Linked DNA regions of Schizosaccharomyces pombe. The protein of the gene in region 1 interacts with the protein of each later gene in a pairwise test. Each region holds a gene or a part of one and is shown on either strand. Other genes may lie near its edges.

Region 1 (3,374 bases):
CAAATCAAACACATTTATCAAGAAATACGTTTCGACTAATTGAAACTGCAGCAGTAGTAGATGATTAAAAAACATTGGCAAATTTTATAATTAACGAGACATTTACCTTTATAATAATGTGTCTAGGGTATATCAATACAATCACTGTAAGTTGCTTGCAATACTTATCGATTACGGTACAAAGATTATTCATTCATAATATATTTGATGATAAACTATTAATTGAGCTCTTGCAAATTGAAAGTCTTACACAGCAAAACTTAGTAAATAATTAATAAAATTGTTGAAACTTCATATATGTATATAATAACATGGACTAATTTACCATGTAACCAAAAAAGTGATTCGAAACAACGTTCAAAAAGAAAACTTAAATAGTAGTTTTCCATTAGGATAACGTCTTCCTTAGCACGTTGAGGCTAATAATAGTAAGGTGGAGTGAAATAGCTCCGGTCAATTTTCAAGAAAATAAAATAAGCCATATGAAAAACGACCATGTGTTCGAATTTCTTCTCATAATACTAAGATATCAAAAAAAAAAAAAAAAAAATTCGTGAAAAACAACTGAAGAAGGGCATTCATATTTTTAAAGAGTAATAGAGAGAGAACTTTCGACTGCTTTTAAAATCTTTGGTTGCTAAATCGTATGCATAAATAAACATATGCAAGGATTGATATATTTAAAAAAGTGATTGTTTTAACAACTCAAAAACTGGAATGCAAAAAAAAATAAAAATATAATACCATTTAGTTGTAATAGGAATTTACGGACGGTATCACCTCTAGCGATTAACGAACAAAATAAAACCAAAATTAAAATTTTCCAATCAATCTAAAAAACTCCTCCCTAGTTTTATGGCTTCTCTGAAATATACCAGTAAGACTACTAGTAACAGTACTGCTACCCGGTTTTTCAACACCGCGCATAACCATGCACATATGAGTAGCTTCCATAACGACTGCAACTCCCTGAGGTTTTAAGACAGCTTGAATAGCTTGGGCAACTTGTTTGGTAAGACGCTCCTGCACCTGTAGGCGACGCGAAAACATATTGGCTATACGTGCGAGCTTTGAAAGTCCCAATACACGCTTACGAGGAATATAACCAATATGAATCTACAATAATGTTAGTTTAATACGCTGAGTTTGTGAAAGAGGGTTAAACATAATTGCATAGCCCAATCACGTGAATGCAATGGATAAAATCCACTTCTAAATGAAACCTACTTTTCCAATAAAAGGAACCAAATGATGCTCGCACAAACTGAATACATCAATATCTCTAACAATGACCATTTCTTCGTGATCTTCTTGAAATACTGCCTCATTGATCACTTCGGTCAAATTTTGCTCGTATCCTTTGGTAAAGTAAAGCATTGCCTTGGCATACCTCTCAGGTGTTCCCAAAAGGCCTTGTCTCTCAGGATCTTCTCCCAAACATTCCAAAATTGTTGAAATAGCATTGGAAATTTTTTTTACTTTTTCTTCCTCAGCAGTATCTATTCTACGTTGTGTTCCTTGACCTAATTGGTATTAGAATACTTAAATGAGTATAAAATATGCTTTCATTACTTACAAGGCCAAGAAAGCCCGTCTAAATCAATAGTTGGTGTAGATGCGCCAGAAAGTGAGGCTGGTTGCATCCTCAAAGGAGAATCTATATAATCCTTTTTTCCAGGCTCCATGAGAAATAAATTTTTAATAAATGAAATTAAGATTGCAATGGATAAGTAAACCGCTGCAAATGTTTTACGCTAACCGACAAAAATACTGTCACACATCTTGGTTCATGCAAGAGAGTGTAGCGCAGAACCAAAGTCTCACTATTTGTAATTAAAGATCGTTTTGCTGTTTAAAAAGTTCCCAGGCATGATTAAGAATGCTAAATGCAGATTCAGCTATTAATTGATGTTCCACTGAAGTCTGCTGGGGTAGTTTATCAGGATGCACTCGGGACACCGCTTTCATGTAGGCAATCTTCACCTTCTTTGGTAAGACCAATTCAGAAAGCGAAACCTTTTGCCAGCGGCATTCAGGCCACAAAATAGTATCTAAGGAAGCAAGCAGTGCTCGTAAGTTGCTCTCTTTCCCCTCTTTCCACTTATTCACAATTTGTTGCACTGGCTCACGTAAACGACTTCTTTCTTCGTCTAATTGCTCTGCTTTTTGCTGAGCCATTCGAACGTGTTGTAACCTCTCTGATTTTACCTTTATATTGGTGTGATTAGGGGTACTTTTTGGCTGTTGTGTTGTGCGCTTAGAATGAGATTCGGAGGAGTGAGAAGAAATGGCTGCTTCGCACCTGTGTTTACCATCAATATATAGCTTGCTTATTTGCCCGTCTGCAATAAGATCTTTCCAAATATTCAAAGATTCTTGGTACTTTTCGAGCTGCTCTAAAACTTGTGCCTTTCGAACCATATTTTTTACATAGTAATCATTCATACTCTTGTCTCTAATGCTTTCTCCATGTCCTTTTTCTTCTCCAATAATATCCACTAGCTCATCTACGTCTTGTAAGCAAGTCTTGAGATCTCCAACTTTCTGATAACACAAGCTACGGTTGCTGAGAAGAGGGACACGCTTTGTATGCTTGGCAGGTAATTGAGAAAGCGAGTTTGTAAACTCTTCAATGGCTTGGCTAAAATCACCTTTGCGAAAAAGTTCATTTCCTGTCGATTGTTGTTCTTCTACTAGAGCGCTTACCATGTTATTCAAAGTCTCTTCTTCGCGCTTCTTAACAGTGGACTTCCCAGGTTTATTATTGTTAACTTGACGAGCCGTTGTTGATTCATAAGCCGTTTCAAGTATATTCTCTGTCCCTTCGTACGTATCGGATGGAAAGTTAAAAGAGCTATTGTCTGACTTAGAAGTTAAGAAATCGACTAAAGATGATTCATCATTTCCTGACCGGCTTTGATTAGTGGTGATTCTGTCTTCAGAAACCTTTTCATTCATAGGAACTTTGTGCGGCTTCCGTTTGGGAATTGGGGTTTTAGGAAGGATTTCAGGAGTTGCTTCGCGGCCAAAATCATGGGAAGCATCCATCCAACGAGGTTTGCTAGGATCTTTCACCGCTCGCCTCTCCTCAACTGCATCTCTAAGTTTCTTTCTTCCAATGTTCCAAAGATCATTAGCCTTTTCAAATAACTGACTTTTTAATTGATTGGATAACGCTTGAAAGTCTGAAAATTGAGTTTTTGCACTTGAATCTGAAAATGCTTCATAAGCTTCTCCTTCACGATACTGTCCTTTTGCATTATCTTTTTCAAGAATGTACTCTATGGCATCCTCCAGGCTCCCGGAATTTTCTAAAGCCAATCTGCTTTGATCGTCAGAAAAGCCCAAATCGCGTAGCTTTTCATACATCTCGT
Region 2 (4,232 bases), 2.1 Mb from region 1:
TGCATCCTTATCAGGAATTTGAATGCTAAATTCTTCTTCGATAGCCATAACGACCTCGACAGCATCTAAAGAATCAAGACCCAAGTCATTCGCAAATGTTGATGTAGGTGTGACCTGAATGGTTAGAGAGAATGCATAGGGGTAAAGAGAAAAAACAAAGATAACATTAACCTAAAAAATTTTTTCGTAAATTCAAGCCGACGACTTTTACAATGAGTCTTGAAATTGGAAATAACAAAAATGTTAAGATCCAAAATTACACATAGAGTGAAAAAAAACAACTGAATGAATGCAAAACATACCTTTTTAGGGTCCTGAATTTTGTCAAAGGAAGAAACAACTTTAAGGATTCGTTTTTCAGCATCAGGGCGAGCAACGCTATAAAATCGCAAAGGTTGAAATTTGGGAATCACCGGCCTAACTGCGGAAATAAAGCGCAACTGGGAAGAAAAACGGGAAAGCATTTTATTTCTAAACAACTAGCAAAGCACTTAACAATGAATTTGCAATTTCCGCTATTATCTTTTAATAGGTGGTAGATGACAAAGATGATGATGTCCCACAATTGTATTAGAATACGAATGGGTAGGCTAAGAATGAGATAAGGATTCGTTACAACACGTTAACTGGGTATTTGAAATTTGAAATTTAAGAATATTAAATGTTTGAGTATAGTAACTATTTAATTTTACTTTAGTCATCATTTTTTGTAGAATAGTTAAATATTTTTCAACACTCTACTCTCATTGTCTTGGAAAATGACTCATGCTTCTCTAGTTACTCTGTTTCTACCATTTTGACAAGCACGTGTATGGCAGTATATGAAGAAAATAACAATTTGGTATTCCAACTTTTTTTTAATCAAATGATTCATACTAAGTTAGTTAGTCTTTAATGAAAGAGCAACGAAGAGTGAATTAATTACAAAGCAGGGGGAAGGAAATAATAATATTTTCCTCAGTTGAAAAAGAGTATCTATGTAAATTTTGAATGGATTTCCTACCTGCACAAATGCATTTCAAGGAGTTCATACAAGTATTTAAATGCCTAAATAAGAGATGATTTATGAACCATACAAACTTGTTTTACAATAGCTTAAGGACAAAAAAATATTTTTAGTTAGTCACTGTTTACAGTGTATAACCGTAGATATCCGTAATTCTAAAGGTATAAATAAAATCATAAACATTCTTCATGCTATGAAAGCAAAGATAGAGGAAATTAAAAGGTTTCTTCACTGTTCATCCATTTCCATATACTGGAACCAAAATAGCTATCATAAATCATGCATTGTCTTCATGAGAATGAACATCTCAAAAGTATATGAAAGTACAACTTCAACAATCATCCGGATCAGCAAAATTAAATTGCTGCATTATTCATTTCAAACCAAAAAAGTAATAGACGACAGTAAATGAACGTCGTCTTCCTTTAAAATTTAATTGTTAATCACAGTTCCACCGTTAGGATGAAGAGTTTGGCCTGTCATGTAACCACCATCTGAGCATGCAAGGAAAAGGTAGCAAGAAGCAACCTCAACAGGCTGTCCCATACGTCCAAGAGGAACTTGGTCAGAAAGTTCAATCTTCTCCTTGGGAAATGTGGAGCTAACGAGAGGTGTGTAGATGGGACCAGGAGCAACGGCATTCACACGAATACCATGCTGCGCATATTGATTGCTCAACCCCCGAGTAAATGCGGTAATGGCACCCTTAGTGGATGTGTAGTCTAGTAAATCAGGTCGTCCTACATAAGCGTTGATGCTGGAACAATTGACAATTGAACTTCCGCTCTTCATATGCGAAATAGCGGCCTTGGTGACCCAGAAAAAGGAGAAGATGTTCGTTTTAAAAGTGAGATCCCATTGTTCATCGTCGATATCTTCAATGGATTGAGCGACCTGTTGATATGCGATGTTGTTCACCAATACATCGATCCAACCCAGCTTCTTTAGAGCAAAATCAACCAAATCCCTACAGTTATCAGACTTGTCAAGTTTTCCCTCCCATATCCAACAATTTCTTCCTTCACGTTCAATTAAATCTCTCGTAACTTCTGCATCGTCTCTTTCTTCTGGAAGGCATGATATAACGAGATCAGATCCCTCTCTGGCAAACATCACCGCTGCTGCTTTACCAATACCAGAGTCTCCTCCTGTGAGCAATGTCTTTTTCTCTGCAAGTTTCCCTGATCCGACATGTACCCGTCCATCACAATATCTGAGAAGTGATGGTTCAGGATCTAAGTCGGCATGCTTGCCAGGCCATTTTTGAGTTTGTGTGCTAGGAACAGGATCCATTTTATTAATGTTTTTTTAATAAAGTCGCAGTTATTTAGTTAGTTAGTCAGTCGTAGTAAATTGGAAATATATTAAGGCGCACGTCTATCTCTATATATAATATATTTTTTTTATTTTTTGTCGGAGAACATCCATTTACGTTTCTATGTCATAATCCCCTGATGTATAGGAAATGAACGTAATTTCGAGAGAGAAATCCATTCTCGACAATCTATTCATTCCGCCTAATATTTTTATTCATTCCGCATAGTACTAGAAGCGTGGGAACGGTGTTCCGCCGCTTTGCAATCTCTTTAATTGATATGAGTTAACTTTATACTTCATCCGCCTGCGATTCAAGGTTCGCTTGTATTCAGCAGTTGCGGCTCGATCAGGAGTCTCGTAATCCAGGATTTCGTAAATTATGGCATTGTGATCATGGATCATTAAAAAAAAAATTAAATGTTGTAAAGGTGAATTGAAACGAAAGACAACCATCATTTCAAGCTAAACCTCAATCCAACATCCAAAGAATCAACTAAGACCTAACCGGTATTCACTCTTTAATATGATATCCCCTCTTTATCAGTGATGTTTTCGGGTATCGCAATTATGAAGTAAGTCATTCTTCATAATATTTGATTTCGATGGAAAAAAAGCGCAAAAAAAAAAGAGGAAGAAAATATTAACTAAATCAAAACAGTACGTAATTGGTATTCACAGTTGGATTAAAAGTCTGCTTAAGGAAATTAGCTATTAGCACTAGTTAGCTATGATCAACCGCCGACTGTTGTATTCGGTACCGAGCGACAAGGTTGGTACAATAAGGGACTAAGTGAATGAATGAAATTAATGAAAGCGAATGAATAAGGTAAATATTAATTTAATGGGTGAATTGTAAATAAATTATATTGAGTATTCGAGTGAAACAGATGAACTGTATCGAATTAACCGTTCATATATTTGTCCATAAAAGATTGTAAACCAGAGAGGTATCTTAAACACTGAATCTTACTGACCTTCATTTTTACAAGTTTTTATTTTCCTTCATCCATTGCAATCATTCATTTCGGATGATTGAATTGGAAAACATTGCCAATATGATTATTTAGGTTCATTATTTTATATATTTATTTATTGGCATAAAATTTTTACTACTAGTTTTTCTGCCGCTAAAAGAAACAATAATTTATTCTAGATATAAATTTCTTTTTTTATTTTTTATATTTTAATGGACGCATGTGAATCACTTTTCCATTTGAAATTTCAATTTTCAATAATATGCTGCTACCTTAGAACTTGCAATATTAAAATTGATGCGAAATCTTAGTAAACGTAATATCATGTGCAATACAATCAAAAGTGATTTGAACTGTGACCTAATATCAAAGGTGGACTTACAACCTGTTTTCTAATTGTACTGGCAAATTTAAACATCATGCTTACGTTAAACCTAGCGTTTCTCCATTGCGAGAATATCAGCACTCATAAAAATTTGTGTACTGTGATTTTTTTCCTATTACATTAGCATTGAAGCATGCCATGACATTACAGTACAGTGCATTTCAGGCCCGACGAGAAAAAATAAATAAATAAACTTACGTATACATCTATATAAATCAGCGTCGTATGAATTCCTGTTTTCTCCTAATGATAAAACAAACAACTGTAGCTCAATTGAAAATTAGAGTGCTTGTTTCTGTCAGTGTATTTCCAACAAACATAATTTTATGAATAACAAATTATCCATAAAATGCTTTTTGGTAAATCCATATGCTACCTCCATATAGTAATATACACAATTAAAGATCCGCAATTTTAAAGAACTGTGCCAAAGACGTACGTACAGTTCTATTCTATGAACTTATATACTGAATATGTAATTGTTTAAAAGTGAAACATAGAAAATGCGGCAACTTCATTTTTCCCGATGGATGAATCGCTCTTTTCTTGA

Evidence for each region.
Region 2: the proteins of fol2 (region 1) and SPOM_SPAC4H3.08 interact in a two-hybrid assay, tested with the Schizosaccharomyces pombe proteins (one large-scale study listed by BioGRID).

Annotation. Positions count from the first base shown.
Region 1 is NC_003424.3:1,774,811-1,778,184, reverse strand, and holds fol2 (GTP cyclohydrolase), read right to left. Parts: upstream 1,686-3,374; coding exon 1,577-1,685; intron 1,524-1,576; coding exon 1,228-1,523; intron 1,117-1,227; coding exon 814-1,116; downstream 1-813. Other genes in the region: UBA/TPR/DNAJ domain protein Ucp7, read right to left, coding at 1,834-3,374.
Region 2 is NC_003424.3:3,839,648-3,843,879, reverse strand, and holds SPOM_SPAC4H3.08 (3-hydroxyacyl-CoA dehydrogenase), read right to left. Parts: upstream 2,300-4,232; coding exon 1,439-2,299; 3' UTR 744-1,438; downstream 1-743. Other genes in the region: SPOM_SPAC4H3.09 (type II fatty acid synthase subunit), read right to left, coding at 1-114, 303-464.